7 linked regions of the Tribolium castaneum genome follow. The protein of the gene in region 2 purifies or fractionates together with the protein of the main gene of each other region. This does not show direct contact. Links are inferred from orthologs where the notes say so. Each region holds a gene or a part of one and is shown on either strand. Other genes may lie near its edges.

What was found.
Region 1: the proteins of U2af50 (region 2) and cleavage and polyadenylation specificity factor subunit 6 fractionate together in Homo sapiens (co-fractionation; 3 studies listed by BioGRID, with this or other methods). This does not show direct contact. The link is inferred for Tribolium castaneum from reciprocal best matches to the Homo sapiens genes U2AF2 and CPSF6.
Region 3: the proteins of U2af50 (region 2) and Cdc5 purify together in Homo sapiens (affinity purification with mass spectrometry; 5 studies listed by BioGRID and IntAct, with this or other methods). This does not show direct contact. The link is inferred for Tribolium castaneum from reciprocal best matches to the Homo sapiens genes U2AF2 and CDC5L.
Region 4: the proteins of U2af50 (region 2) and putative RNA-binding protein Luc7-like 2 fractionate together in Homo sapiens (co-fractionation; 3 studies listed by BioGRID, with this or other methods). This does not show direct contact. The link is inferred for Tribolium castaneum from reciprocal best matches to the Homo sapiens genes U2AF2 and LUC7L2.
Region 5: the proteins of U2af50 (region 2) and Prp19 purify together in Homo sapiens (affinity purification with western blotting; 3 studies listed by BioGRID, with this or other methods). This does not show direct contact. The link is inferred for Tribolium castaneum from reciprocal best matches to the Homo sapiens genes U2AF2 and PRPF19.
Region 6: the proteins of U2af50 (region 2) and U2 snRNP-associated SURP motif-containing protein purify together in Homo sapiens (affinity purification with mass spectrometry; 3 studies listed by BioGRID and IntAct, counting the BioPlex papers as one, with this or other methods). This does not show direct contact. The link is inferred for Tribolium castaneum from reciprocal best matches to the Homo sapiens genes U2AF2 and U2SURP.
Region 7: the proteins of U2af50 (region 2) and Cbp80 purify together in Homo sapiens (affinity purification with mass spectrometry; 3 studies listed by BioGRID and IntAct, with this or other methods). This does not show direct contact. The link is inferred for Tribolium castaneum from reciprocal best matches to the Homo sapiens genes U2AF2 and NCBP1.

What each region holds. Positions count from the first base shown.
Region 1 is NC_087402.1:4,011,784-4,015,748, forward strand, and holds cleavage and polyadenylation specificity factor subunit 6, read left to right. Parts: upstream 1-1,165; 5' UTR 1,166-1,298; coding exon 1,299-1,355; intron 1,356-1,536; coding exon 1,537-1,749; intron 1,750-1,800; coding exon 1,801-2,382; intron 2,383-2,427; coding exon 2,428-3,359; intron 3,360-3,414; coding exon 3,415-3,592; 3' UTR 3,593-3,829; downstream 3,830-3,965. Other genes in the region: uncharacterized protein LOC658351, read right to left, coding at 27-210, 264-676, 728-857. UniProt on the Homo sapiens protein: Component of the cleavage factor Im (CFIm) complex that functions as an activator of the pre-mRNA 3'-end cleavage and polyadenylation processing required for the maturation of pre-mRNA into functional mRNAs.
Region 2 is NC_087399.1:6,083,456-6,087,627, forward strand, and holds the start of U2af50 (splicing factor U2AF 50 kDa subunit), read left to right. Parts: upstream 1-1,372; 5' UTR 1,373-1,529; coding exon 1,530-1,545; intron 1,546-1,599; coding exon 1,600-1,738; intron 1,739-1,781; coding exon 1,782-2,191; intron 2,192-4,172. UniProt on the Homo sapiens protein: Plays a role in pre-mRNA splicing and 3'-end processing. By recruiting PRPF19 and the PRP19C/Prp19 complex/NTC/Nineteen complex to the RNA polymerase II C-terminal domain (CTD), and thereby pre-mRNA, may couple transcription to splicing.
Region 3 is NC_087400.1:3,567,162-3,571,297, reverse strand, and holds the start of Cdc5 (cell division cycle 5-like protein), read left to right. Parts: upstream 1-1,336; 5' UTR 1,337-1,541; coding exon 1,542-1,983; intron 1,984-2,127; coding exon 2,128-2,814; intron 2,815-3,604; coding exon 3,605-4,136. Other genes in the region: Yod1 (ubiquitin thioesterase Otu1), read right to left, coding at 16-228, 279-968.
Region 4 is NC_087399.1:9,864,837-9,869,136, forward strand, and holds part of putative RNA-binding protein Luc7-like 2, read left to right. Parts: intron 1-1,254; coding exon 1,255-1,686; intron 1,687-4,115; coding exon 4,116-4,300. UniProt on the Homo sapiens protein: May bind to RNA via its Arg/Ser-rich domain.
Region 5 is NC_087395.1:23,126,225-23,130,208, forward strand, and holds the start of Prp19 (pre-mRNA-processing factor 19), read left to right. Parts: upstream 1-1,184; 5' UTR 1,185-1,192; coding exon 1,193-1,316; intron 1,317-1,438; coding exon 1,439-1,588; intron 1,589-1,632; coding exon 1,633-2,096; intron 2,097-3,984. UniProt on the Homo sapiens protein: Ubiquitin-protein ligase which is a core component of several complexes mainly involved pre-mRNA splicing and DNA repair. Required for pre-mRNA splicing as component of the spliceosome.
Region 6 is NC_087403.1:337,015-341,257, reverse strand, and holds the start of U2 snRNP-associated SURP motif-containing protein, read right to left. Parts: upstream 2,801-4,243; 5' UTR 2,631-2,800; coding exon 2,613-2,630; intron 2,563-2,612; coding exon 2,446-2,562; intron 2,396-2,445; coding exon 2,299-2,395; intron 2,250-2,298; coding exon 2,060-2,249; intron 1,448-2,059; coding exon 663-1,447; intron 47-662; coding exon 1-46. Other genes in the region: arrestin domain-containing protein 3, read left to right, coding at 3,745-3,853, 3,900-4,243.
Region 7 is NC_087397.1:5,580,077-5,584,376, forward strand, and holds part of Cbp80 (nuclear cap-binding protein subunit 1), read left to right. Parts: coding exon of another isoform or gene 1-2,080; intron 2,081-2,150; coding exon of another isoform or gene 2,151-2,186; exon of another isoform or gene 2,187-2,300; intron 2,301-3,616; coding exon 3,617-3,855; intron 3,856-3,903; coding exon 3,904-4,300. Other genes in the region: mucin-2-like, read right to left, coding at 1-2,080, 2,151-2,186. UniProt on the Homo sapiens protein: Component of the cap-binding complex (CBC), which binds cotranscriptionally to the 5'-cap of pre-mRNAs and is involved in various processes such as pre-mRNA splicing, translation regulation, nonsense-mediated mRNA decay, RNA-mediated gene silencing (RNAi) by microRNAs (miRNAs) and mRNA export.

The sequences.
Region 1 (3,965 bases), on a different chromosome or scaffold from region 2:
CTGAAGGTGGAAGGGGGACAGGTTACCGGCACGAATTTCACGCGGGTCGGCCTCATTGAACGGCTGCTCCATGGAAGAGGGGTTGTCCATCGTGGGGGCCCAGTCTGTGAGTTCATCGTCACCGTCGTGGCCTTCGCCCCCGCTCCAACTTATGCTGCTTTCGCTGGTGAAGTCGCAGTCGTCGATGCTCTGCGTCTCCATGGTGTTGGTCTAAGGAAATTTGATTTTATTCAGGGTGGGTTTAGGAGATGGGAGCTACTCACGTCGTCCAGATTTGAGGAATTCTGGAACATTTTCTCAATTTTGTCGACGACAGTTTGGTGCAAAGGGCGGATTCGAGTCGGGTGCCGCAAAGAGCGCCCATTTTCGACAATGTCGAATCTCTGGGGGCGCTTGCGCTTGCCACACGGGGGCACCGGCGCTTCGTCAATACTCATGCGTTTAAGTTTGCGTTTTCGGCGCAAATTTGGCCTTGCTGGCGAATTTTCATTCACTGAGTCGCTCTCTAAACTGTGGTTCACCCCCAACTTACACCGCCTACTGTACCTGATATAACTCTGTAAGGCGTGTTTTAACCGCCATTCGAAGCTACTTGAAGTCTTCTCAGTTCGAGTCTCGGAATTACTGCTGGAACTGTCTTCTGCTTGATTATCGGGGGAATTGTTCATGTAAACTACTGTAATTACAGAATTGTTATTCGACACCTTTTTACTGGAGAACCGTTTACGTAAGTTCCCCGCGGAGCGAGTGCGACGTCTCATGCCCCATTTTCCGGGGGTTTCATGAGCGAAAGTTATGGGACCACAACTTTCGGATTCTTCTAGAGCCACGCTCAAATCTTGGGCGAGATGATCCATAACTTTGAAGCAGCCTTTTGATTTGATTCACACACGAGATTTTACCCAAGGGCCCACTACATCGTCTTTGTGTTTAAAATTGCCAAGTTTTTGCCCAAATTTTAACGAAAATAAACACAATAAACGAGTCACGACCACACTGTCAAATTAGGACGTCAAAAGTGAAGCGCATGTGCGCCAACCCGACATCTGGGAAATTTTGAAATTTTATTTTGTTCTTTTTTATGTTACTCTATCACCGAAATAAATTGGAATCAACACAATTTGCCAGATGTTTTATTTTTATTATAAAGGAGCATTTACAAGAATGCATATTATAGGTTTAAATAAATAAAATGCTTTCGATTGCGCGAATTTTGAATTCGACCGAAAGCGCAGCCTCCTCTGCCAATCCGCCATACTTGTTTGCTCTTCTTGTGGTGTTGTTCCGCGTCCTCAAAGATGGCGGACAACGACATTGATTTATACGCGGACGATATTGACCAAGATTTTGCCCAGGTAAGTCCCTAAAATAAATGAAAGCTTCTCTAGAAGGGCCCTTGTGTCCTTTCCGGTCAATATCCGCGCTTGTTTCGGTGCCAAATCGAAGCTAGTCGCTGTAGTTGGGAGTGATTGTTGCCGGTCCTGTTGTTGGCCATTGTCGTAAAAAATCGGGTTAAATAGTGTCTTCTGGTGTTAGGACGACTTCGGGAGTGAAAACGTCGATCTCTACGACGATGTAATTGCCGCTCCCGCGGCCACCAACAGTACGGAAACGACGGAAACCAACCATCAGCCCGCTACTACGGCCACCACGGAAGAGACCAATGGAAACACTTATTCGACTCAAGGCAACAATATCACTCCAAATGTGGGGCGAAGGCACCAATTGTATGTCGGGAATTTGACTTGGGTATGTGTAAATAACTTTCCTGATGTTTTTGATTTAAAACGGGTCTTTTAGTGGACCACTGATCAAGACATCGCCAATGCAGTCCACGACATCGGCGTCAATGACTTCCACGAAGTTAAATTCTTCGAGCACAGAGCCAATGGCCAGTCGAAGGGCTTCTGCGTCATTTCTCTGGGCTCTGAAACCAGCATGAGACTCTGCATGGACCACCTCCCCAAGAAGGAGATCAATGGCCAAAATCCCGTTGTCACACTCCCAACCAAACAAGCCCTCAGCAATTTCGAAAGTCAGTCCAAAACCCGGCCTTCTCCCTCAAATAATTCCAGTAATCGCAACCAACATCCTAGCCACGCTAACAATTCCATTCCTCCAGGTCCCCATCAAAATTACGGTGGTAGAATGCCCATGAACAACCAAATGCGCGGCCCCATGCCGCCAGGCATGGCCGGCCCGGGAGTCCCCCGAATGCAAGGCCCCGTTGGCTACAACGGCCCCCCTCAAATGAACCAAGGACAGCCTCCACGGTTCCAAGGACAACCGCAATGGAACGGCCCCAGACCCAACGGACCTGGCCCGAACATGGGACCAATGCGGCCCGGACCGCCCCCACAGGGCCCTCCACGACCACCAATGGTAATCTTCGCAAAAACCCCAAACTGGGAGTAACTTTTCGTTTAGTTCCAGGGCCCCCCACAGGGACAGATGCCCCCACGCGGAATGCCCAACCAGGGCCCTCCTCCAGGCCCCATGCGTCCTGACTGGAGCCGCCCCCCGATGCAGCAAGGCTTCCCCCAGGGACCGCCTCACATGCAGGGCCCCAACATGGGTCCGCGAGGACCACCTCCGATGGGAGGCCCTCCGCCACAAGGCCCGCCCCAGGGGCCGCCGGCACCCCACGTAAACCCCGCATTTTTCCAGCAAGGCGGTCCTCCACCCCAGATGCAACATCCAATGCAGGCCGGACCTATGCCACCGCAGGGGCCACCACAAGGCCCGCCGCATGGACCTCCACATGGCCCCCCGATGGGGCCTAATAGTGTACCGCCGCATGGTCCGCCCCACGGTTATGGACCGCCTACGAGCATGCCGCAGCCACCGTATGGAGGCCCGCCTCCGGATCACCGCAACGATATGCCCCCAATAAGCGAACAAGAGTTTGAGGATATTATGTCAAGAAATCGGACGGTTTCGTCGTCGGCTATCGCTCGAGCGGTTTCGGATGCTGCCGCCGGCGAATACGCTAGCGCAATAGAGACATTGGTCACGGCTATATCTCTCATCAAACAATCGAAAGTCGCGAATGATGACAGGTGTAAGATTTTGATTAGCTCGTTACAGGATACTCTACGAGGTGTGGAGGATAAGAGTTACAGTTCGGGAAGAAGAGATCGGTCAAGATCGAGAGATAGAGCACACAGGAGAGGTCGTAGGGAACGATCGTCTTCAAGATATCGCGAAAGAAGCCGTGAAAGAGACAGAGATCGTGACAGGGACCGCGATAGAGATAGATACTATGCGGATAGTTACAGGGAGCGGGAGCGGGATAGATCCCGGAGTAGAGGAGACCGGGAACGGGAACGCGAATACAGAGACAGAGAAGCAGATGATGCGTAAGTGGTATTTTGCAACGACGTTGAGTAAATTATTAGTTTGGATTTTTTATAGGTCCCGTGTGTCCCGGTCCAGGAACAAGTCGCCTCCTGACGCAGTGGATCCCTCAGGAGAGCCGACATCGAAATCTCGTTATTACGAAGATAGATATCGTGAAAGGGAGGGACGTCGTGAAAGTGAACGGGAACGTGAAAGAGATCGTCGAGACGAATCTCATCGTTCTCGGCATTAACAATTTTTTAGGCCGCATTCGTAATATGTTGTACCATACATGTCATGCATGTAATGAAAAAAATATACTTATATAGTGTTAGGTCAAACTAGTACACATCTCTGAATTTCATTATGTAATCGAAATGTTTATTTTGTTTGTAATATCTAAACCTATTCTACAGAAGAAGAGTGAAGAAGACGCTTAATCTGAAGAAGATTGTATGTTTTAGATAAAAAATATGGTTTAGACTGAGAATGGATTTTTATTTTTCTCTTATTTGATTGATTAACCTACTTGATCCGTTATGTAATTTGTACTGTATCACCCCTTCACTTGTTTTTATTTATTTATTATTTAAACCTCTTGTAACATTTCTTGTTGTACACTTATC
Region 2 (4,172 bases):
AGCTATTAAATAAAGTCAGATTTTTTTCAAGTAACTTTCTTATATATATTTGTTGTTTCTTAGGATGTCGAATTTAATTTATTGTCGAATTTACAAGTTTTTCATTGTTTTGGACATCATAAAGATATTAATTGTTATTTTTTTCAACAGCTATTTGTTTAAAAAAAAATATGATCTGAAGCACCAAAAAATTAACATAAAAAATTAACTTCGAGGAGCTATATCTCGTGAAAAAAAGCTTAAACATTTTTTTGCCATAGGAACTTTTAATTCAGTCTTTTCTCAACACTCGAGAGATTGTATGGTAGTTTTGAATCACCCTGTATTAAAACGGGGGGTACCACAGGGCAGTGTATTGGGTCCGATGCTGTTTTCGTTATATACCTTTGATCTTACTAATTATATAACTAACTGTAAAATTCACATGTATGCTAACGATATGCATTTGTATCTGACATTTCCATTCAATTATGACAAAACTATAAAGCTATATACAAAAAACACGGTGTAAATCTAAATGCAAACAACTGTCAGACGGCAATCTTTGATTGAAAATAATCAACAACTGAATTTATATAACCAAAAACTTACTAGGAAAAATTTAGTAATTTAATAGTGCTTTGATGAGCATGTACAGGCTGTTTCATATAATTTTACCATGACAGTAGTTGTCAGACTAATGACTGTTTAATGGATAGTCATATGTTTTTCACTAACAATTATCATGTGTTCTATCAAGTGACGTCATGAATATAATCCTAATTATTCCAATTTTTCAAAATTTGTAATCTAGTTCGTATTTTTAGTAGTTTAGGCATTTAGATTCATAAATAAAATTGAAACTGGTCACATCTCTAATGATGTGTGATTATTATCAAATTTTGTGCAAAAATGAAAGGGCCAATGGAAGATAGCATCTGCGAACTGTTCCCTTTTGTAAATGTATCATTATATTTAATAAAGTTTATTATTATTATTAAGTATTAATTGCCACCAGCTTGGTAACAAAGCAAAAGTTCACCGACATTTTTAGTGATACTGATAATACAAATTGTTTGTATTAATTTATCGCCGCTTTGAAAGTGTTTTTAGTCTTATTGTTACAAAATATGTTTTTCGGTTTGTTTACAATGTATGCACACACTAATCTAACAAAACGTGTTTTATTAATAGATCGATTGGTTCGGCTGAAGCCGGCCCTGTGGTAATTTTCCGAAAAACAGTCCGACTCTGTTTACGTCAATCAAGCAAAATATTTTTACCGCCGCACGACAATCGTACTTTTACAAACAATTAACAATAACAAGTTAAGCAAGACCGTAATTGTAAATAATTAATTAAATTAATCGTAATTCAAACGACACAGTTTGCGACATTACCGACAGGTACCCACAATCCCCTTGACATTAATTGACGCCATTTTGAACGTTTTGTGAGTTGTGTTAAAAACAAACCAAACATTTGAGTTAATTGACCCAAATTGTGCTTAATTTTTGTAAAATTTGACCTAATTGTGCTACTGTTCCACAATGGGGGAGGAAAAAGGTGAGTCCGGGCCCCACTTAACCGGCGAGTTTCACCCAATTCTAACCCCTCTAGACGGTAAAAACAACGAGCGGGAGCGGAGCCGGGAGCGCGGGGACCGCGAAAAGGACCGCCGACGGCGCTCCCGCTCCCGGGAGCACCGCCGGAGGTCGCGCTCCAGGTCCCGGGACCGCCGCCGGAAAAGCCGCTCAACGTGAGTATTTCGCCTTGGTTTCGTGGATTAATTGGGGGTTTAGGAGTCGCCATAAGAGCCACTCGCGGAGGCGCAAGCCCTCGCTGTACTGGGACGTGCCCCCGCCCGGGTTCGAGCACATCACCCCCTTGCAGTACAAAGCCATGCAGGCCGCGGGGCAGATCCCGGCCAACATCGTGGCGGATACGCCCCAAGCGGCTGTGCCTGTCGTCGGGTCGACTATTACGAGACAGGCGAGGCGGCTGTATGTGGGGAATATCCCCTTCGGGGTCACTGAGGAGGAGATGATGGAGTTCTTCAACCAGCAAATGCATCTCAGTGGCTTGGCGCAAGCTGCAGGGAATCCGGTGCTGGCGTGCCAGATTAATTTGGACAAGAATTTCGCCTTTTTGGAGTTTAGGTCGATTGATGAGACGACGCAAGCGATGGCTTTTGATGGGATTAATTTCAAAGGTGGGGTTGGCGTAATTAGTCCGGTCAAATAAGTCTTTATATCAAAATCTAGGGGATACAAGTATTGCAAAACGTAGTCAAAGAAGTGTTTTTTAAAGATTACTCAAATTCGGTACGAGTTAGAAAAAAAAATGTATTAAATGAAAATTATAAAGCATTTAATTTTACGCAAAAATGTTCTCTCGACTTTTTTTGATATTATTCAAATTAACAGAGCTTTGGGTGCTTAAATGTTAATGTACAATTTAAAAAAAAAACATCAAAAACACTTGATTGTTCTGTAGATTTTTCAGCTAAATTTGAATTTAGGGCACTTTGCACAAATTGTTAGATTTTATTTTAAGTTTTATGAACAAGGTCAGTAGACGTGATTTTTTTTTCGGAACCTAGTAGTAGTCAAACTGTTTGCAACCTACAATTACAGTCACATTTGTAAAATTTTAAATACGAACAGGAAAAGAAATACAAATCGATGACGGACGGGACAAAAAAAATTTCACATTTTTATTGATGAACAATCGTTATAAAATTCTGCTAATTTAAAGGCACTAATTGCAAGAATTATTTTTGAAGTAAAAGGTGGAACTTGTTGAAACTGAAACCACGAACCACGAAATTTTTTGTTTACACATAACTGTCGGCAGAAAAAAAATCTTGTGTGTGAAAATAAGTACAGAAAATTTAATCACATAGGTTTTAATTATTAAAGACTTTAACAATATCAAAGTATGTTAAATTTTATATGAGACGTTCACTCACGACAACAGCCAGTAACAAACTGAATAACATTAAATGCCGCAACAATAATCATTGTGTAAGATTATGGATAAAATGTCATCAACAAAAGTTATAATCTGTGAGATAACTAGTTGTTACAAGGTAGGAATAACGAGGTTTGTTTGATCCATTGGTTTTTGCTACTACTTTGTCACATTTTATGCTTTTGAGTAAATAATTTCAGACAAAACATTCATAATTTCGTATTCTAAAAATTAAGATAGCCACTTTTTTACGGAGAATTTAATAATAAAGACACCAGTGTTTTCTAAATTATTTATTTAAGTGTAATAATAATTAATAAGACAAATTGTATTAATACTGTGTGTACATATTTTAACTGGACACTGCAAAAAATTTAAGATTTTATTTTCAATTTTTTTAATAGTATCAGTAGAAAGTACAGCATCAACATTAAGTATTAACCGAATTGTGTATTTTGAAAGAAACTTTACTAAATTTATTTTGAAAATTTCGGTGTAGGGTTTTATTTTTGGAATGGCCGTTTAGCAAAAAAATTAAAAACCTAAAACTGGACAAATTGTGCGTTTACATCCTCATATCTTCCTTCTAAATAACGTTCTTACACAAGGCTGGGTTTTGATAAGAGAAAACTGAAAAAATGTACGTGCTGTGAAATTTTTGAGATGTGAGAAAGTTTTAATTTTTTTATTTTAAAACGCGAACCCTTACATAATCGAGATGAAAACACTTCAAATACATTTTTAGTTCAAGAATTATTTTGTTATTTGTAACACTCATCAAGTTATTGCAGTTTTCAATTACTGAAAAGTTCGAAGTGAAATCGCAGCGTATTTTCCTTTGAAACAAACATTTCGAGGGCTAATAAAAATGGAAACAAAAATTAATTAATGTCATCTCAAAAAATAGCTTGGAGTGGATTAATGTTTCGTAATTAGTTCTATTTCGTCACGTTTTTGGCTTTTTAAATAAGTTCCGGAGATATAAATGTTCTTTTGACTTCTTTAATATTAAAATTAACAATTAGGGCGGTTAAACGTAAAGTCATGATAACTGATAAGTATGTACAACTTTAATAAAGTCATGGTGAGTTGAAATTAATTTTCTAATTTTTTTAACAATAATTTTTGTAATAAAGGTATAATTTTTGTAATAATTGGTATAAATTTGGTATAAATCTAGCGGTGGACATAAAAGATTGGGACATTTAAAATTAAAAACA
Region 3 (4,136 bases), on a different chromosome or scaffold from region 2:
TGGTCACTGGCAGTGCTAGACTTCCCCGAAATTCGTATGTCCCGTACTTTGCGCATGCTCCCTTGCCTGCAATTGTCCATTAAGGAAAATATTACAATTCATGCATTTTAGCGTAAATTTGTTAACATCAGTGAATTGTCGACTCGACTTCGCCTCGCGCGCTAATTCCTGCGCCTCTTGTAAAACCTTATCATCATCAGTGGGAAAAATCGTCTGAATACTCGCCCCCTGAAACGAATCAAATAATTTTTTGATAACCCCCTGAGTAAGGAAATTACATCGGACGATTCCAAAAAAAGGGGGTCATAGTGTATACCATCAAACATTAGAAAAATTCGAAGTGTGTAATGCTGGTCTTCCCCGAACCGGTTGATAATAGCGTTGATCGTGTCTACGACGGCAATTTCGAACCCATAGTGATTCGAGAGAATGGCCAACTCGATGGCGCCCCCCCATGACTTGTCGTCCTGGATCCAGGCGCAATACTCACGGTTGGGTTTCCCCAAAATCGCCTCGGAAAACATCTCGGGGTCGCTGGCCACCGTTTCGGCAATCACTTGTCTCATGTAGGGGGCTGCCGTGCCACTCTCGTCCAGTTTCCCGTTCAGGGCGAAGTAAACACTACTGAAAAGACACGAGTTGTCGGCCGGCACCACCTTCTTCATCAGAATCCCCGGACAGTCGACACTTTCACTGATATGGCCCCGCAAGGGGGGCGCAGTCTCCCGGGCCTTCTCCTCCAAAATCAGGGTATCGCCCGACTTGAGACCACTGCGACTCAACTCGAGACCATCGTCCCCCAAGGCGAACGCCTTCGGGGGGAACCCTGACAACACATGGAGCCTGTCCTCGGGGATCTGCGATATGGAGCACAACTGGCGCTTCAAATCTTTGATCGTGTGCTCAGGTGTTAGGTTTTTGATCACTTGTTGCCCCGTTTTGGTTTTGACGCGCAAAGCGAACGACATGGTGCTCTCTGGGGGCTAATAACAATGACAGTTGGGAGTGACAAGTGACAGGAGAAGTGAGGTTAAGGGCGAAATTAAGGGCTTGGGGCCCGAATTTAGACGATTGGGGCGAAAGGGGGCAACACTTGGGCGCTTTATCACCGAGATAACATTTCAAAAGGGTTAAATAAACACAGGGATTTGGGGGGGCTAGGGACTTTCGCCGACTGACGCGAGATACCAACCACACTTTTTTAATTATTTCAAGACAGGAAAAAATTATCACGTTTTAGATCAGTCTCGTGTCACGATTAATACGTTCTAAGTACGGTTCTGATTATTTTTAATCCCCAATTTTTGTTTTTTCTCGACTAACAGTTATGCCAACTCAAGGACGGCCATTTTTATAACCAAAAATCAAGCCGTTTAAAAAGGGCCGTTTTTTGCATTAGTGTCCCAAAATAATTACTTCTTATCTAATTAGTGACTCAATAGTGTTGACCCAAGCATCATTATCGTGCTTTTAGTGGTATTGTTATAAAATTTAAGTTTTTGTCAAAAGTGAGGTTAGGTTTTTAACTAAAGAGTGCAAAAATGCCGCGTATAATGATAAAGGGGGGCGTTTGGCGCAACACCGAGGATGAGATCCTCAAAGCGGCGGTAATGAAATATGGGAAAAACCAGTGGTCTCGAATTGCCTCGCTCCTTCACCGCAAATCGGCCAAACAGTGTAAAGCGCGTTGGTTCGAATGGTTGGACCCCAGTATTAAAAAAACGGAATGGTCGCGGGAAGAGGACGAAAAGTTGCTACATTTGGCCAAGTTAATGCCGACTCAGTGGCGCACGATAGCCCCCATAATCGGGCGAACGGCCGCTCAGTGTTTGGAGCGCTACGAGTACCTCCTGGATCAGGCACAGAAGAAGGAAGAAGGGGAGGATGTCACGGACGACCCCCGGAAGCTCAAACCGGGGGAAATTGACCCCAATCCGGAAACCAAGCCTGCGAGGCCCGACCCCAAAGACATGGACGAGGATGGTAAGAGCTAACAAATGGGGTACATTTTTCTCAGTTTCAAAACACGAATTCAAAAATGCAATAAAAATTTCAAAACCGCAAAAGAATCACCCTGTATAGTATACTATAACGCAAAAAGGTTGGCACGCGTGTTTGTCGTTGCAGAGCTGGAGATGTTGTCCGAGGCGCGCGCCAGGCTTGCCAACACCCAGGGCAAAAAAGCGAAGCGAAAAGCGCGCGAAAAGCAGCTGGAAGAAGCGCGTCGATTGGCAGCACTGCAAAAAAGGCGCGAGCTTCGAGCTGCCGGCATCGAAGTGAATTCGCGTCGTAAGAAAAAACGCGGTGTTGACTACAATGAGGAAATCCCCTTCGAAAAACGTCCAGCGATTGGTTTTTACGACACTTCCACCGAAATTGTTGATCCAATGGCGCCCGATTTTCACAAAATGCGTCAACAACATCTCGACGGTGAACTGCGAAGCGAACAAGAAGAACGCGAACGTCGCAAAGATAAACAAAAATTAAAACAAAGAAAAGAAAATGATATTCCACAAGCGATGCTACAGAATCAAGAACCGGCGAAAAAACGCTCGAAATTGGTACTTCCCGAGCCGCAAATTAGCGATCTGGAGTTGCAACAAGTCGTAAAGTTGGGTAAAGCGAGTGAAGTTGCACGTGAAGTTGCAGCAGAGAGTGGAATCGAGTCGACTGATACGTTGTTCAATGATTATACGGTGGCGGCGCCACAAGCGGCAGCGGTGACTCCCCGAACTCCGGCACCGCAAACTGATCGGATACTTCAAGAAGCGCAAAATGTCATGGCTTTGACGCATGTGGATACCCCACTCAAAGGTAAAAAAAAAATCACAAAAAAATAAATAAATAATGACGTAACTCGAAGAGGAGCGAAAAAATCGAAAAATTTTATTCTTGAAAAAAAATTGCAATTTTGTAGTAGTTTACCGTCCACCAATCTGTTTTTTCAAAAAGTGAATAGTTTCGCCAAAAAATACTAAATTGCAAAGTTTGCCTCACCCGCTATATTGCTCAAAAATATCCCGAAATTAAGAACTTTTGTAAGTTCTTGATTTTTAAAAATGTGCGTAATAATAATTAAGAAAGGTACAAATAAATTAAAAAAAAATTTTTTTTTTCTTATAATACGAGCTAAATATAGAGATACAGTTAAAAGTTTTACTTTGTCACCTACCAATAAAAAAACTATTTAAGTCACAATAACTGAATACCCTGCCAAGAGCATGCCTATGTGACTTAAAATTGTTTGAAGATTCCAAATCTGTCTTTATTGGATGAAATATCAATTTTCTTGTTCATAATATGTAAAAAAAATAAAAAATAAAAAAATGAAATTGACATTAAATGACTTGTAGTTCTTTCTTTTTATTACTTTATTTGTCTCAATAACTTAATAACCAATAAAAAAATTTCTAGGTGGGTTACTACCTAAAAAATACCATAACTTCAAAACGAACGAAAAAATTAAAAAACTTTATACTTTGAAAAAAGTCCCATTTTTATAGTAGTGTACCATCCACTAATAACTTTTCCCAAAAAGTTAATAGTTTAGTCGCAAAACGCCAAACTGCAAACTTTGCCTCACCTTGTATATCTCTTTCAAAAGGGGGCCGAAACACGCCACTTCACAACTCGGATTTTTCGGGCGTTTTACCACAAGCCCTCACCATAGCCACTCCCAATACGGTCCTGGCGACCCCTTTCGGGGCCCAAACCCCCGGTTTCATGACACCGCAGGGCCCCCAAGGCAGTTTTACGCCTTCAGTTCGTGACAAACTCAATATAAATGAGGAAAACACCGAAATGGTGGCACAAACTCCAGCCGAACAGCGTTCGCTCCAAAACAATTTAAAAGAACAACTAAGACTAGGCTTAAGTAGTTTACCGACACCGAAGAACGACTACGAAATCGTCGTTCCCGAACAGGAAGAAGAGGAAAAAGAAGAAGAAAAAACGCCAAATATTGTCGAAGATCAGGCAGATGTTGATGCGCGAGCGCTTGAAGAAGCGAAAATTCGGGCGGCTCAGGAGTTAGCCCTGCGGTCGCAGGTGATTCAAAGGGGGCTGCCGCGCCCCCACGATGTAAATTTGGCCGTTTTGCGGCCGAATCACGAGTCGCATTCGTTGACCGAGCTGCA
Region 4 (4,300 bases), about 3.8 Mb from region 2:
TGCTTTACAGAGTCCTAAGAACTCAAAAAAAAATTCTGCCCAAGCACGAATATCTGTCCTTGTTAATGGTATGCGGTGGCGATTTTAAATTTTTATTGATGCCAGAGGAGGAGATACACTGTACTAGTAATCATTTTTGGTTTTAATTGATACATCCATCATTCATGCATTTTTTTCAGAATATTTTTGTATTGTTTAAAATTGCTTTAAAAGAAAAAAAAATTGTTGAAATCTTATTCTCGAGTAAAAATGATCATTCTTAAACTTCTAGTACCATCTTTCTAAGTAGTTATTTTATTTTTGATATTTAATTCAACATCCAAAAAATGAAATATTGCAAAACTTTTGAATCTACGAAATTTTCTACCCATCTTTGTGATTCATTTTAACGGTTTTTATAAATATTATCAGTAGAAAAGGAACTTAGTACCAGTCCAACTATTTGCACCCTACAGTTGTAAAATTTTAAATACGAACACGAAAAACACAAATTGATAGCGAATAGGACATAAAGAAGACTTTACATTTTATTGTTAAATATTATGTTAATTTAAAATGCACTAATTCCTACAATTATTCTCGAAACCGAGGAATAATGCAGTGTGCATTGATTTACGATTAATTTACTTTTTGTTTATACATGATGGATGGGACACTACCAGAAACTAAAAAACACTTCAGAAATTATTTACCAATTATAGTACGTCAGCTGTCAACAGTATTTTATATTATTGCCTACAAGGCAATGTATGTAAATGTTGGAATTCACTTTAAATAATTATCGTCTCATGTTTTAAATCCACAACAACAAAAAAACTTTTTTGTTGTAAAATACATCAAATACAAACTGAATCGTATATTTTGAAAGAAACTTTGCATTATTAAATTTATTTTGAAAATTACGGTGTCAGGTTGCATTATTCCTGGAATCGCTGAATTAAAATTAAATTAAATAAAAAATTATTTAATAGTCAACCTAAATTCTGTGCAATTATTTATTTCTGAGATACGTATAGTAAAAATATAGTACTTCATTAGTAGTCTCACTTTGTATGGTCGTCATAAGGATAAGCATCTCCTTTTGACATTTGGATTCAAGTGTTCACTTTTAGGTTGAAGTGATACTTTTAACTATTAAATACTAATATTTGTAAGTATGTTTATAAGTATTAAAAAAACTGATAATTACAAATTTTTATGAATATCACCCAATACCCAATAAAATATAAAACCAGTGATAAAAAATTCCTGAAGGCAATGGAACATCTGCAAGCTTTTATCACCGATTGCGACCGTCGCACCGAGGCCGCCAAGCAACGCCTCGCCGAAACCCAAGAAGAACTATCGGCTGAAGTGGCCGTTAAAGCGAACAGCGTGCACGAATTGGCGGAACAAATCGGTCAAAAGCTCGCCAAAGCCGAGCAACTCGGCGAAGAGGGTTTTGTCGACGAAAGCATGAAACTCATGGAGGAAGTGGACGAATTGAGAAAGCGTAAATTGGAAGCCGAGCAAGAGTATCGCAATTCAATGCCGGCAAGCAGCTACCAACAACAGAAATTACGAGTTTGCGAAGTTTGTTCCGCTTATCTCGGCATACATGATAACGATCGACGTCTCGCTGATCATTTCGGCGGGAAATTACATCTTGGGTTTATTAAGATTCGGGAAAAGTTGGCCGAACTTGAGGTAAGGATATTGTGTTTTATGTACAGCTTGTACAGTCACCTAAATTGAAAATGACGCAACCAAACCCTGTCATATTCAAAAATCATCAGAGACATTTCGTTATTTATCCTTTGAAATGATTGACGATTTTTGGTTGGAGATGGTTGATTAAAAAACATGACAAATGAAACAATTTTTCACGGCCTCTTCGATAAATACATAATATTTATATATAATATAAATATATACATGCAATTTTTAAATTCCCCGCAAAAAATAAATTAGTTTGCATATTTCATTCACCAAATTAGATTGAAGTTGATGTTCCACTGGATTTAATGCATTTTTGAATCAGATACTCATTTATTTTACAAGGTTAGGTCAGAGAACGTCTAAAATTAATAAAAATATATTCTAAATTGGTGGTATTTGAATCGCTCTGGTTTATTTTTGTGCGAGATTACATCAAAAATAAAAGAAGAAAAAAGTTATTAGTAAAAATTATGTTATCCTCCCCTCCCCTCTCAAGCCCCGTAACTGGAAAATTACAAAATTAGGTCGAATTGATTAAATTTCGTTTATTTTGTTTGATTTTGAACACGTCAATAATTTTAGAAACATTTTCAAACAAACTTTGGTCAGAAGGTTGTTAAACTTAGTTTTTTGCACGATTTCACTAGAGGAGACCGAAAAAGCACCAAATTAAGTATAGCACTACACAATTCTTGTTTTTTGAGTGTTTTAGCACATTCTCCAGACAGAAATTGCAAAACTTCGTTAAAGTTAGCCGTAAAATCACCAAAACAATTAATTTATTTAGATTATTTCTCTCGATTTAATGCATTTGGACTTTATTTTGCAAGATCATTCTTAAGCTATGTTAACTGGATTAAGCTCTGTTTTGTATGAAATTTTTTGTGGTCAAAAATATGTTATTTGTGTATTTTTGGAAACACGTGTTTGCAAGATATATCTTCAGTTTCTTGCAAGAAATCGATTGAAAAATCATTTTTAGTCAAATAACATTCATTTTCCTTTTCCATATGTTTTGATATAGTTTTAAGGAATTATTTCTTAACATTTTCAAATAAAACAGCAAACAAAATTTCAACAAGTTAGACCCCATTGTTAATTCGAGGTTTTCGAATTTTTAAACAGGTTTTTGAGATAAAAACGGTGTTTTTTTAAGAAAAATTTTGATTATTAGGTTATTTTTACCAGCTTTCGTCGAGAGATCTATCTATTGTTCAAGAACAATAAATTTTAGTTAAATAGTACTGCTATTTCTGCGTTTCCCAAGAATTCAAGCACTTTTTAGAGCTAAGGTATCATTTTTTCTGAAGATTTCGATGAATTTAAATTCAAAATTATCTTGTTTTTGTCTTTTTTTAGCATTATTTAGCAGGATATTCTTATTTAGAATAGAAACTAAGAACAAATCGAAAAGTTTCCCAGTTATACTAAAGTGGGTGTTATTTTAGTTTTCTTCGAGTTTTGTTGAAGCAAAAAAAGTTCTTTTCGAAAATTTTAGGTAAAATTGGGGAAAAAAATATCTAATTAGATCGAAATTGATGTTAATTGTCTTTTTTAGATCGACTTTACAAAAGAACTCGTTAAAACACAACAAAAAATTACAAAATAAATGGAAATTGATGTTAGTGTCTCTCGATTTAGCTCATTTTGGAGCAAAATTACTTCAAAATAAGCCGAAAAACCGTAACATTCGGTCTGAAATCATGTTCCGTTTTTGAGTTAAAAATATTAGGTTTAGAGATGTCGCTAAAGAAAACCAAAAAATCACCAACTTTTGGCTTTTTACACTTTAGTGCTTTATTTAAAAAAAAATGGGCATAAGTGGCTGTAAAAACATCAAATTTGATCGAATTAATGTTAATCTTATTTTATTTCAGTCATTTTCAAGTCTTGAACCTGAAACTTATTTATTCTATTAAATGCTCCCAGAAATCACAATAAATCACATAAAGTGATCATAATAAGATTAAAATATTTTGCCTGTTTCAGGCAATTTCTTTTGTTTTTAAGCGAAATTTCGTCAAGATAGGCTGAAAAATGTCAAAATGTCGACCAGAAAAAGGTTTTTTTTTTCTCAAGCTTCTAAACACGTTTTTGAGTTTCTTAACTAAATAAATCGTGCATAAAGCTCATCTAATTGGCCAAAACTCAAAAAAAATTTAAATTTTTCAGTATTAATTGACCTGCTTTAAGTATAAATTAAATTTAGAAAGTAAATTCACTCCAAACTCAATAATAAATCGACATTTTTTCATTATTCTTTCTTCACATTAGATTAAAATTAACCATTTGGAGACTAGAAACGTCGCAACGAATTAAAAATAAATATTTTAATGCCATCTTTAACGTAGTCAATATCAACCACTTTAAGGAGTTTTAAGTAATTTCAAAATATTTTATACTTTTATATATTGTAGAAAAACGCCGAGAAACGGAAGGAGGAAAAGCGCAAGTCCTCCCGTGACAGAGACCGGGACGATCGGGAAGATAGATACAGGGAGAGACACCGCGAGCAGTATGTCGGGGGGCGCGAACTGGACAGACGCTCCAAAAGACACCGTTCCAGATCCTGGGACCGCAAAGAAAGGGAAAAGAATGACAG
Region 5 (3,984 bases), on a different chromosome or scaffold from region 2:
AATTGCAAATAAAATGTTGTGTACACCGGCTCTAATACGGTGTTGAAAAGTCATAGTTTGAGTTTTAAATTCAGTAACTAAAAAGAAAACACTCAAACAATTTATCGTCGCGTTTTGATTTTGTCTTTAATTTCAATCGATGAAAGTCACTTGCTCTAAATTTAATGCAAACATTTTTTTTTGGTTTCATTTTTATTATTATTATTTTTTTAATGCTACAAACGGTAGCCAACGTGGAAGCGATATGAAGGTAGGTGTATTTATTTACTGAAGTTTTAAATTTAAATTGCCACATATTAAAACGTATTGTGTATTTTTTATTTTGTTTAATATTGACAAATGTTGCTTGTTGTAACTTTCATGCAAATAAAGATTTTTTATTGGTGTTGTTTTTATTTTTTAATGTCTTGCTACAAACAGTAGCCAACGCAGAAGCCATATGAAGGTAGGTGCATTTTTTTGCGTTTTATCTTGTGATGTGTTGAATTTAATAGCTTGTGTGCCATATATTATACCGTATTGTGCATCCTTTATTCTGTATAATATTTATTAGTGTCGCTTTTTGTAACTTTCCTACAAATTATTTTTTTTTGTTGGTTGTGTTTTTAATTTATTTTTTAGGTTTTGCTACAAATGGTAGCAGATGCAGTATAAAGGTAAGAACATTTATTTAACGCCAAGTGAAAAACTTTGATTTTTGTGTACTTTTTTTTTATTACACAAACCAGTAATGTCTTTATTCCCTTTTATTTTCCAATAATCATTGTTTACCTCATCCTTATTTCCTTTTTTCCTGGCAAGAATGCTCTAAACCTCCACGTGGTTCTTGCTGGACAAATTAGTTATTAATTTGACTGATTAGAGCAATCTTTAAATACGAATTTTTTTAACGCAGTTTGCAAAATTGAGACATTTTTTTACAGCCGAAGGCCCTATCGAAGGGCTTATTCCCCTACAAAAATAATGAACATTGCACGGTAAAAAGGGGGTGAAAAAAAACAATTTGCATTGCTTGAATATAAGAATAAAAATGTAGTCAAGTTTTAATTTGTAATAGAAACACATTAGAATGATCAGGGTATGTTTTTCTAATGATTTACGATTATTTTGATAATTTTCCTGGTGTGAACTTGGCTGTAGAAACGAGAATGTTGCTAGCTCCAGGCGCGCAACGATTGTCTGGTCGACTGTAATGTTCATGGTGCCATCATCATTTTTAGTGCATCTGCACAGATATCTCGGCCACAGTGTTTTTCACTTTGTGCGGTTGGCGACACATCAAGCTAAGTTAGCAAAAATGGCGTTGTTTTGTGCCCGTAAGTATGAATTTTTGTTGCGATTTTGAATAAAGTACGCTTTTTTAACGAATCAAAACTTAATTCGAGTGTCAGTAATGAGCTTCTGGCGCAGTTTGGGTAACGATTTGGCCCGGTTTCAGTTTCAAACGAGGTGCCGGAACACCCAGTCGTGTCCCCAACGTCGGGTGCGATTTTCGAAAAACGCATCATCGAAAAGTACATCCAGGAGCACGGCAAGGACCCCATCAGCGGTGACGAGCTCACCGTGGACAAGCTCATTGAAATTAAGAGTGAGTAGCCTAACCCAACTTGTTCGGTTCTAACCGCCACACAGCCCCGCCGATAGTCAAGCCGAAGCCGCCGAGCGCCACCAGCATCCCGGCCACGCTGAAGCTGCTGCAGGACGAGTGGGACGCCGTGATGCTGTACAGCTTCACGCAGAGGCAGCAGCTGCAGACGGCGCGCCAGGAGCTGAGCCACGCGCTCTACCAGCACGACGCCGCGTGTCGCGTGATCGCGCGCCTCAACAAGGAGGTGACCGCCGCCAGGGAGGCGCTGGCCACGCTGAAGCCCCAAGCGGGCATCATCACGGTGCCGCAGCCCGCGGTGGCGGCCGAGGCCGGCGGCATCGCCAACCAGCCGACAGAGCAATGCGGCCTGACTGATGAAGTGATTGAGAAGCTGCAGGACAAGGCCACGGTGTTGACGCAGGAGAGGAAGAAGAGGAGCAAGACGGTGCCTGAAGAGGTGTCCACGCCGGAGCAGTTGAGGGGATTCAAGACTTTGGCCTCACATCCGGTATATTTTCAATGTTTTTATTTATACCATCCAGTATTTCCCCGAACATCTCTTGCATTTTGCACAATTGTCGTTTTAAAAATTTCACTTGACAAATGCAAAGATTACTAAATGTGGTAGAAAATGACTTAGTTTTCTCTCTTACGAGTGTTTTAGCACATTTACCAATTGGAAAAACGTGTAAAGGTTGGTGTTATTTTGCTGGATTTACTCGATTTAGCTTGTTATTGGGCGAAATTTCATCAAAAATAAGCCAAAAGTCACAGGATGTGTTCAAAACACTGATATTTTTTAACTAAATGTTCGTTCAAATAAAAGAATTTCTTTCTAACCTAATTCTAATTGAATTGAGCCAAAAATGCGTTGTTTTTTTTAAGTAAATATCTAAATATTTCAATAAAGTGATCGAAAATGATGTCATTTCAGGTTGTTTATCTCGAACTTATTCTGAGAAATCAGGAAATTAATTTGGGAAATCTTCTATTTTCGTAATACATTTTGCAGTCAAAAAGCAAAATTTCGTTGAAATCTTGTTATTTTTGCCATTTTCCGGCAATTTAATTCGTATAACATTCGACAATGTAGTTATTTCGAATTTTTTTTTTAAGATAAGAGCGAAAATGTTACATTTTTTTGTTGTTTTCAAGTGTTTTAAATTTTTTTTGAAAACAATTTAAGCTTTTTTCTATAAACATTACAAAAACTTAATAAAAAAGCACTATTTTTACATCAAGATGGTTGTTATTTTAGACCATTCCCTTCGATTTTGTTTGTTTTTGAGCCAGGAATTTATTTATTTCCCAACAATAAAAATATAAACTTATTATTTTGTTTTTATTAACTTTGATTAACTTTCGCGAAATTCCCTTTAAAAAAAAACGCAAGAAACCACAAAATTTGATCAAAATTTTTACGTTTTTTAAGCTTTAGAGCACGTTTTTGAATTTAATTTTCAGCTTTTTTGGCGAAATTTTGCAAAACCAACTGAGAAAAACATGCAGAAATAATTTTTCTGTTTTTTGAGGCTTTTCTAAAAAGGTAGATGAAAAAAACACCAAATTAATTCTAAGATTTTATTATTTTTCGAGTTCACGAGCATTTTAGTACGCTTTTAAGACAGAACTGTTTTCCAAATTTCGTAAAAAAAATAAAAAGCCGACTCTTTTATTTTACGAGATCTTGACAAAACACCTAAAAATCAAAAACTTATTATCAGCTTATTTTTGAATGAAATGTTCCCAAAAACAAGACAAGAAACCAATGAAATTGTTAAAATTCTTATTTTTTCTTTATTCATGCTTTCAAGCACATTTGAATTTTTGTTTTAATCGCCAAATTAAATATAGAAAACTACATTAATTTTTCATTTGCGATCATTTTAATACGTTTTACACTTAAAACCACAAATATTCCGCAAAATTTCGTTCAAAACCATTCGGAAACTAATTTATTTTGTAATATCTTGTCACATAAGTGAATCGACATTAATTATTATTTAATTATTTAGTATATTTGAGTTTGAGTGAAATTCGTCAAAACTCATTATAAATAAGTCGAAAATTGTGTTAGTTTTACTTTTTTCCGGGCTGTAAGCACAAACTTTTGCTAGAATTGGCTAAAATCATCAAATTAATTAACACAATAACAAGTGTTCATTTAAAAAAAACTCTAGAGTGCTTTGAAAATAAAAAAATAATTGTTTACTATGTCTGTGATTAATCCGTTCTTTCATAACCTTACTTTTTGACAACTAAAAGAAAACAGATTTTCATCATAAAATTTATTTATTATTTATAAAAACTGTTGGAAATGTCTTCCTTGTTGTTCAACACACATAACACATCGCCTTTGAACACTATTTAACAATCTTTGGCTATGAATTGTGATG
Region 6 (4,243 bases), on a different chromosome or scaffold from region 2:
CCGGCAGTGTACGAATTCATCAGAGGGGGCTTCCAAATTGAACCGTCTTCGCAAGCAAACAAGAAATGTTTTAAATTATATAATTCTATTACAAAAGATCTAGATATTTTCTTTCATAATTTCCGACCAAAAACTCTACAATTCGATCTATTTAGTCTCTTTTTCTTCGTAATTTATAATGTTTTGTACAAGTGTTATGTCTCTATTTTGTCAGTTTTTTCTTTTTTGGTATTTTTTTACATATTTTATTTGTATTGTTTATATATTGTAACTGTAATGACTACTCGTCCATTTATATAATTTTATCCATACGAATTACATACAATACAAATGTCCTTCATATACTTCAGAGTATACGTCATTTTTTAAGAATAAATGTTTTTAAAGGTGACAAAATTTACTGGAGGATATAAAACCAGAACAACTTTAAACGATAAAAAGAACTTTAAAGAAAAACACAAATGGTATTATTTTTATTGCTTCTGTGGATTTTCTTTAAAATTCAATAATATCCCAACTTTTTTCAAAGTTTATTTGTATCCGTATGTTGTGTATCATGTCTTGACGGAGATTATAATTTTGCCGTTTGAGAGCGTTTTCGCGAAATCTCCACAAAATTAACACGTTTTAGAGCAAAACCGTCCAAAACACCAAATTCTTACTTTTGAAAAGTCGAAACTCTTTGACGCTCCACTCTTTCTGTGAATCCCCGTGCATGATGGAGTAGAGTTTCCACCGGTAGTAGATATGAGCCGGGCTTTGATTTTCGAAAAGAAACCTGTAATTAGGGTTGTGTATCTCCCGGTTCATAATCATAGCTTCCAACATGGGCCCCTCCCGAACCACAAACTCGACCATTCTGTGTATCAACATCAACAGATTTCTATCGGTCGGAATCACAACTTTGACAACACTGCGCCCCAAAATCTCGTTCAGTTCCTCTGCAGATTTGGGCAGAACGTCCTTATCCCGGGCGCAGGGCTGGGCGTTGAAGGGCAGTCCTGAGGGAGGCGGAGGGAAGGACAGTTCCAGGAGCGCGGGAGGGATGTAAATGGGATGTGGAGGGATTATTACCGATTTTCCCCAACCAAGTTTCATTTCATAACCTAGGATTTCTTTGCCGTTTAAGTTACGAAGCGCCCTTTCGCCGTCTTTTCGGCTCATGTAGGCCACGAAGCCGCAGTTGCGGCCCCGGGCCTTCTCCTCGTCCGAGCGGGGCCACATTATTTTAATACTAGCAAGGGGGCCGTAACGACCGAAAATTTCCATCAACTGTTGCTCGGTTATTTTGGGGTTGAGGTTGCCAAGGTAGAGGTTTGTCGTTGTGGGGTCGCCGTTATCGAACGACCCCAAGTCACCGCTCCGCAAAAACATGTCCAGCTCGGACTCCATGGGGGTCCTGAGCACCCCTTTGTACTTGTGTCTTTCCTCCCGCTCCTCCTGAATCCTGGCAAAAATTTCATCAAATTGTGCCACAAAACAAGAGACCGGTCAGAATAGACATTTCAATTTCCAAAAATTCGCATAGCGGTGAAAATTCGTACAGGACTTATGTAAACTATGACAAATAAACTATAAAAAAACTCCCCACCGATCCGACGTGTGCTAAAAAAATATTTTAATAACAATAATAATTTATTTATCCTTAGAAAATTTACATTAATTTATAGGACACGTCAAGTAATAAACTCATCATAACTGTTTTATCAAGATATGGTCAAATAATACGCCTAAGTATTTTATTGTTCCTAAGTTTTCAAAATTTATATTACGGAGAGAGAAAATCATTCATTTTGTTTTGCGTTCATTTAAACATAAGTACATTTGCAGACCATACAGGCGCTTTTTCCTGCATTTGGCATAATTCCGGCTTTACAAAAAAATGCAAAAACCGATACTTTTGTCCTTTGACATTGAATAACTTTTTTAGCACACGTGGGATCGGTGGGGACTTTTGATATTTTATTTGTAATAGTGTACCTAAGAACTGTACCAATTTTTAGCTCTACGCTTATCACTACATTTTTGTCTATTTTGACCAACTCAATGGTATATTTACTGTCTTAATTCCTCTTTAAACGCCTCTAGGTTGCTCTTAGTGTGCTGTTTCTTCTTCCCTAACCGTTCAGGCTTCTTATCTGAGATTAATTTAGCGTAAAACTGAGCTTTTTCCGTTGATGCCATTAATTCAGTGGGGGCTAGTCGGGACTGCGGTTTGTACAACTTGCCCTTGTCTTTAGTATCCTCCTCTACAAAAGCCCAATTTATTTTTGATTTTTTTCACAATTTAAAAAATACTTCGCGCTCCTGCATCGTAAGTCCCCGCTTTGACCCACACTTTACTCGAGCTGCTAATAGGGGACTCTTGGAACGTAGCGACAAATTCCTCAAAAACCTTAAATCGAAGAGGTTATGTAAAAAATACTACTGTATTACTAGTCCTACATGAGCCGCAGCCCGTTCCTCTTCTTTTTTCCGTTGTTCCTCTAATTCTTTTTTAGATAACGAACGTTTCCCCATCGTGCCGATCGAAAAAGCCTTTAATTTTTGCTCAGGAATGTTCTGTTACGAGAAAAACGTTAGTTTTGAGGGGTTTTATTAGGGTGAACTACCTTTATTTTATCACCCATTTTGGACGCAATTCCCACCAAACACTTCACAAAACGGTTTTAGCTAATTAATATTGAAGGAAACCTAATAATAGTCATAATATAATTGTTTAATTTCCTGATATGAAAAAATAATAATACACTGGTGGTTTTAGGGAGTTTGCGTTTTCATATTGTGGGCTATTGGCGACGCTGACACTGCGTGTAAACGTTCCCAAACTTTGGGCGAAAATACATGAACCAAAAAACAACAAAGTTAAAACAATATCCACACGTTTTTGTACTTTTTGTAAAAAACTAAAAAACTCGAAACTAAAAATTGATAACGTAATTATGTAACGTTTTATAAAAAATGGGTGTATTACGTGTTGCCTACAAGAACACTCCAAAATCTCGTAACTATGTTTATTTCAAAAATAAACAAAATGTTTGTGTTTACTGTAATTATTCAAGTCATTAGCTTCATTATGTGTTTATCATTTTCACATAAATCGTCCTATAAACTCATCAAATAAAAAATATATATAAATTAATAAAAAACGCAGACTGTTAATTAATATTTGTATCAACAAAAAAAATCATTACTATTTTATTTTCATTTTATTTTGGGAAATAATAGTCTCTACGACATGTGAATCGCTAATTACATAATCACTACTGCCAAGGCCGCTTTAGAGGTCGCCGCTCATTATTAGTATTATTGCATAACAGTGCACTTGAATTGCAGTTTTAGGGCGAAAAACTGTTTTCGTAGTCATCGATAGAGTAGTGTTTACGTGTAGTCGTATCAGCATTTTACGTTATCTCATTCATTTAGTCACAATTCTCCTTCCTTGTTTACTTCAATGGCCACAATTTACGACCTCTTCGTCTCACATTAGTGGGATGGGCTCAAATATTTCAACCAGTTTTTATTTTTAATTCAATTCAGTGGCGCCATTCAAGGCTGAATTCTCGTCGAAGTGGTGAAAAGAAATGAATTACGTCTAATTACGCCACGGTTTTTCTTCACTTAGGTACGTGGATGATTTATAATTGATTTATTAAAATAAACTGTCTCATTCATGAAACACTAAGGTAGGTTAGGATTTTACGACACATTTTTATACAGGGGGTGATCCACAATTTGGGCGAAATGTCTCAAGTTCGCATTTGTTTGGAGAATTATTCTGGGACATATTATGCCGGATCTGAGATTAGGGGCCGGCTTGAGTGTTATTTTGATGAAGAGACTACTGTTAGAGGTGCATTATGATTTTTGTAGCAATGTGTTTTTACATTTTTTTCTAGGAATAAAACTTGAGATCATATGTAGGGAACATAATGAGTGGACTGGGACTGAGGAGTATAAGGACCCAACAGACAATTCCACTAAAACACGACATATTACTTTAACCGGGGATCATGACGTGTTTCATGTTAAACAGATGTTGTTTGGGTCTGAATCTGGGAGTCGGGAGGTGTCTAGGGGGCGCCAAGTGTACCCTTTTTCGTACCATTTACCCTACGATATTCCTTCGAGCTATCATGGCCCCCATGGCTCCATCACTTTCAAACTAAAGGCTGTGGTTGATAGACCCATGCGGGTTGATTATGAGGATAAGTTTATTTTTAATGTCATCTCCCCGATTGAT
Region 7 (4,300 bases), on a different chromosome or scaffold from region 2:
GGATTGTGAATTTTTGTTGCGTTACTGTTGTTTTTGGCTTTGATTCGAAATAAAATTCCGTGACTGTGGTGGGTTTAGGGTGGGTTGTCACAGATTCGGGTTCTCCTAAAGTGGTACCATAACTCGTTCGACTCCGAGTGGTCGTAGGTACTATCTCTGGTATAGTGGTTTCATAACTGGGTGTTTTTGCTATTGTCTCGTACGTATTTTTCGGGTGAGTTGTAGTGGGTACCGCCTCTACTACAGTCGTACCATAACTAGTTGACAGGTATGGAGTTGTGATAGGTACCGCCTCTATGATAGTAGAACCTTGCAGGGTTGTGACTGGTACAGCTTCTACTATAGTAGTTGAACCATATGGAGTTGTAGTGGGTATTGTTTGGATTGTGGTAGTAGTTTTAGGACTACTTGAAGTGTGTAGCGTTCTAACTGGTACTTCTTCTACTAGAGTCGTTCTGTAACTAGTTTTGGGGCTAGACGGTGGTAGAAAAGTAGTGCCTTGATTGGTTGAAGTGTGCAAAGTTCTGACTGGCACTGCTTCTATCACAGTGGTTCCATAACTGGTGGTTTTGGGGCTGGATGATGTGGAAAAAGTGGTATCATGACCAGTTGTAGGTCGTAAAGTTCGAACGGGTACTGCTTCTATTACTGTGGTTTCATAACTACTAGTCTTGGGGCTAGACGATGGTAGAAAAGTGGTTGACGTGTGCAGAGTTCTGACGGGAACTGCTTCTATTATAGTAGTTGTTTTGGGGCTAGTCGAAGTGGTTTTGGGACTGGTTGAAGTGTGTAAAGTCCTAACGGGTACCGCCTCAATCACCGTACTACTTTTCGGTACAGTGGTATAAAACGTAGTACTTTTAACCCTCTCGGTCGTAAAGGGCCCAATAATTGTAGTTTTCTGCTCTGTATACGGTACTTTTTCAATTGTGGTACTTTCTTCTTTCCTAACCGAAGGTTGAGTCGTGGTAACGTACGGAATTGTAGTTTCAACGTTTCGATCAGGGGCTGGAAGTTGTTCACTGATTGAATCCGGTCGTGTGTGTTTCGGAACTTCCGTAACCGGTTTCATCGGTTCGGTTGGACTAACCGGGAACAAATTAACTCGTTCTTCACTTGTCGTAATTTTTTTCGTAGTAGTTGTGCGTAACGCCTCCGAAAAAATATCAAAACTCTCGTCTTGTTTTTCCGTTGTTGTCTCAACCGGAGTGTAATAATGAATGGTTGTGATGGGTTTCGGCGACTTTGTATAACTTTGGGTCGGTAAAGTCGTAATCGGGATTAATTGTCCTTCACTTACGACAAAAGTCGTAGTCGTAGGAGTCGTAACTGAGAATCGGTGAGGCCCACTTGATGTTTTCGCCGCCAATGACTCGATCAATTTTTTGTACAGTTCGTATTCTTTTGGATCGATTGTTGTTTGGTCGTGGTATGAAGTGAAAAATCCGGGAAAACTGTGCAACACGTGTTTGTACCCATCCGGGGTCATTTGTATTAAAATTCCGGGTTTGTAGTGTCCATGATCTTCCTCTTTCTTGAACCACTCTTTTTGTCCAACTGTGTTCACACCCGGATCGCTCTTAATCACGAAAATGTGTCCCGGGACGTTATAGTTAAAAAACCCATGTCTTTTGACCAAATCCTCGCTGATGGTGTGCGTGATGGGCGAAATCGTGTACTCGATTTCGTACACGTGCCCATAATGGGGGTCCCGATGTCTTATCCGCTTCACCGTCCACAGTGCGAGTAGTTTATGGTGACCGAAGGTTTTCCACTGGCATTGGGGCGACGTGAGGCATCTTTGACAATCACAGTCCACGTCTTGAACAAATTTGAAACCTTCAGGGGTTATGTAGAGTTGTCCTCGTGCCAGAACGGCGATGTCTCCGAAAGGACTTGCGTCGTCCTGTCGGTTGATAAAAGGGGCTGCCAGGAGGCGGTCGCGGAGCCCCGGGTCGGTGTAGTGTTCCCGGAGGAGGGCCTGATGCACGGACTCACGCAGCCCCAATTCCCAGTCGGTGGGAGGATGAAAGTTTCGCACGGGTCGAGTGATTGATACAGTTTCCCATAGTTGGAGAGTCTGAAAATGAGAGTTTTCATTTTTTAATAACCTTGGACTTGAATGGGATTGTTAGTCGTGGTAAAATTACCAAGAGTAAAATGAAGATTATTTCGAAGTGTCCCATTTTAGACCCACTGGGTGTTTGCAAATGTTTGAAAGCTGCACATGTCACTAGTTCGCTCGGTTTCTTACAACTAAATCTTTTTACTTAGAGAGATTGAAGAGTACCCCACCGATGATCCTAGAAGCTTTCGACATAATTGCTAATACATTGTCTACTTTTCTGCGCACTGATGAATATTAATTATTTTTTTCTTGTGTGTGCAATGTGCATATTATATTACTTAATTTAGACACATGCCAAGATAATTATCTCGGGGTTTTAAGAAAAAACCCGAATTATTATTTTCGGACAAGTTAATTTGGCACGACAGTAATTAACTAAAATGACTCTCATTAACAATGAAGTTTTGAAATTTTTATTAAGAGTGATGGGTTTGTTAAAATTAAACCTTCGGAAAAAGTATTGTCCGAAGTGAGATTTTTTAATTAAAAATTTATTAGCAAGGTTTTATTGGCAATTCTATGATGAATTTGTATTGTCGCAACATCTTGATAATTGCATTTTCATTACGATAAATAATGGACTCGCACTTTTAATTTAATTTATTTTTTACCTTCTTCTTTGATGGTGGATTTTTGTTGATTTAATTTCTGCAAAAACATTTTTTTTCTTTATGTTACTCGAAGGAAAATAGAGAAATTTTATTTTCACCGAAAAGCGTGGCTAATTGAAACCTTGTGGTGTTACCTAAGACCCTATTTGCGTAAAATTCAGTACTTGAGGTAGAATATTTTCATTTTTATTGCACAAATTCATTACCTTTGATTTAATCTCCGCGTTATGAAACCAGAGATGTTTACGATCGTTCTTATTTTTTTCTTTTAATTCGTAATTTTGCTCACGAATCTTCAGTTTCACCTTGAACTTAATTGCTCTGAAAAGAACCGATTTTAAGTCAGCGGCGATATCGCAAAGTCGCATCTTTACGCTTGGAGATTTCGAAACGAAAAACAATAACGAAAGTGCATGTTACACGATGAAGATTACAATTGTTTGAAACAATCATCACAATGAGCAAATTTGACATAATGGTCACGGTATGAAGTGATTCTTGTAATTTAAAGGAAAAAGTCCGAAAGTAAAACGTGCGTGAATTTGACCAATTAACACGAGAAAATAGCTATACATTGCAGCTTGCGTAAGAAAGGGATACGATTATATGCGTTCGAGAAAAAACGAACGTTTCCGTTATGATTACTTGCAACAATATTGGATTTTCTGGTCGGTGGTCTTCCGCTATTATTAATTTTTCTTTTCCGTTTCGGTTTGCGGAAAACAATTTTGTTGTATTAAACGGATTGTTTTTTTGAATAATTCATTTATTTAAAGTGGAACGGAGGATTATGAGGAGTTGTGAAAAAATCCAGCTTCCGTCGTGGCGAAACCAAAATTATGAAATTTTTTGTCATGCATAACAAATCGTGTTTTAGCGTCACTTCCGGGTACTACGGCTGCCCATCAATTGGTGGTGTCAATACGTCAGAAGTGCACCCCCGAGGAGGTCCTAGGGGTGCTTAAGGACCTCCCAAACCCCCGTTCAGAAGAAGAGACTGATAGCAGATTTAATCCTCTCAAAATCGACGTTTTTGTGCAAACTCTACTCAACTTAGGGTCGAAGAGCTTCTCGCACAGTTTTGCAGCGATTTCCAAGTTTCTTTACGTTTTTAAGGTACTCAGGCTTGAACATTTGTGTCTTAAATCACTTTTTTTTTGATAGATTTTAGCAGAGTCGGAGGAAGCTCAAATTTGCGTTTTACGAAACATGTTCGAATTGTGGCACCACCACCAACAAATGATGGTCGTTTTAGTTGACAAAATGTTGAAAATTCAAATTGTCGAGTGTTCAGCGGTCGCTAATTGGATTTTTTCCAAAGAGATGACGGCCGAATTCACCAAAATGTACTTGTGGGAAATTTTACATCTGACTATTAAAAAAATGAACAGACACGTGATTAAGCTAGGGGGTGAACTAGCTGAAGCTAGAGAGAAACTAGCACGGGCTGAAAGCAGCGAAAGTGAGTCTGAAGATGAGGATTCGAAGAAGAAGCAATCTGATAACGAGAAACCAACTGAAGAGTATGTTGAAAGGATGGAAGAGAAGTTGGAAGCGGCAC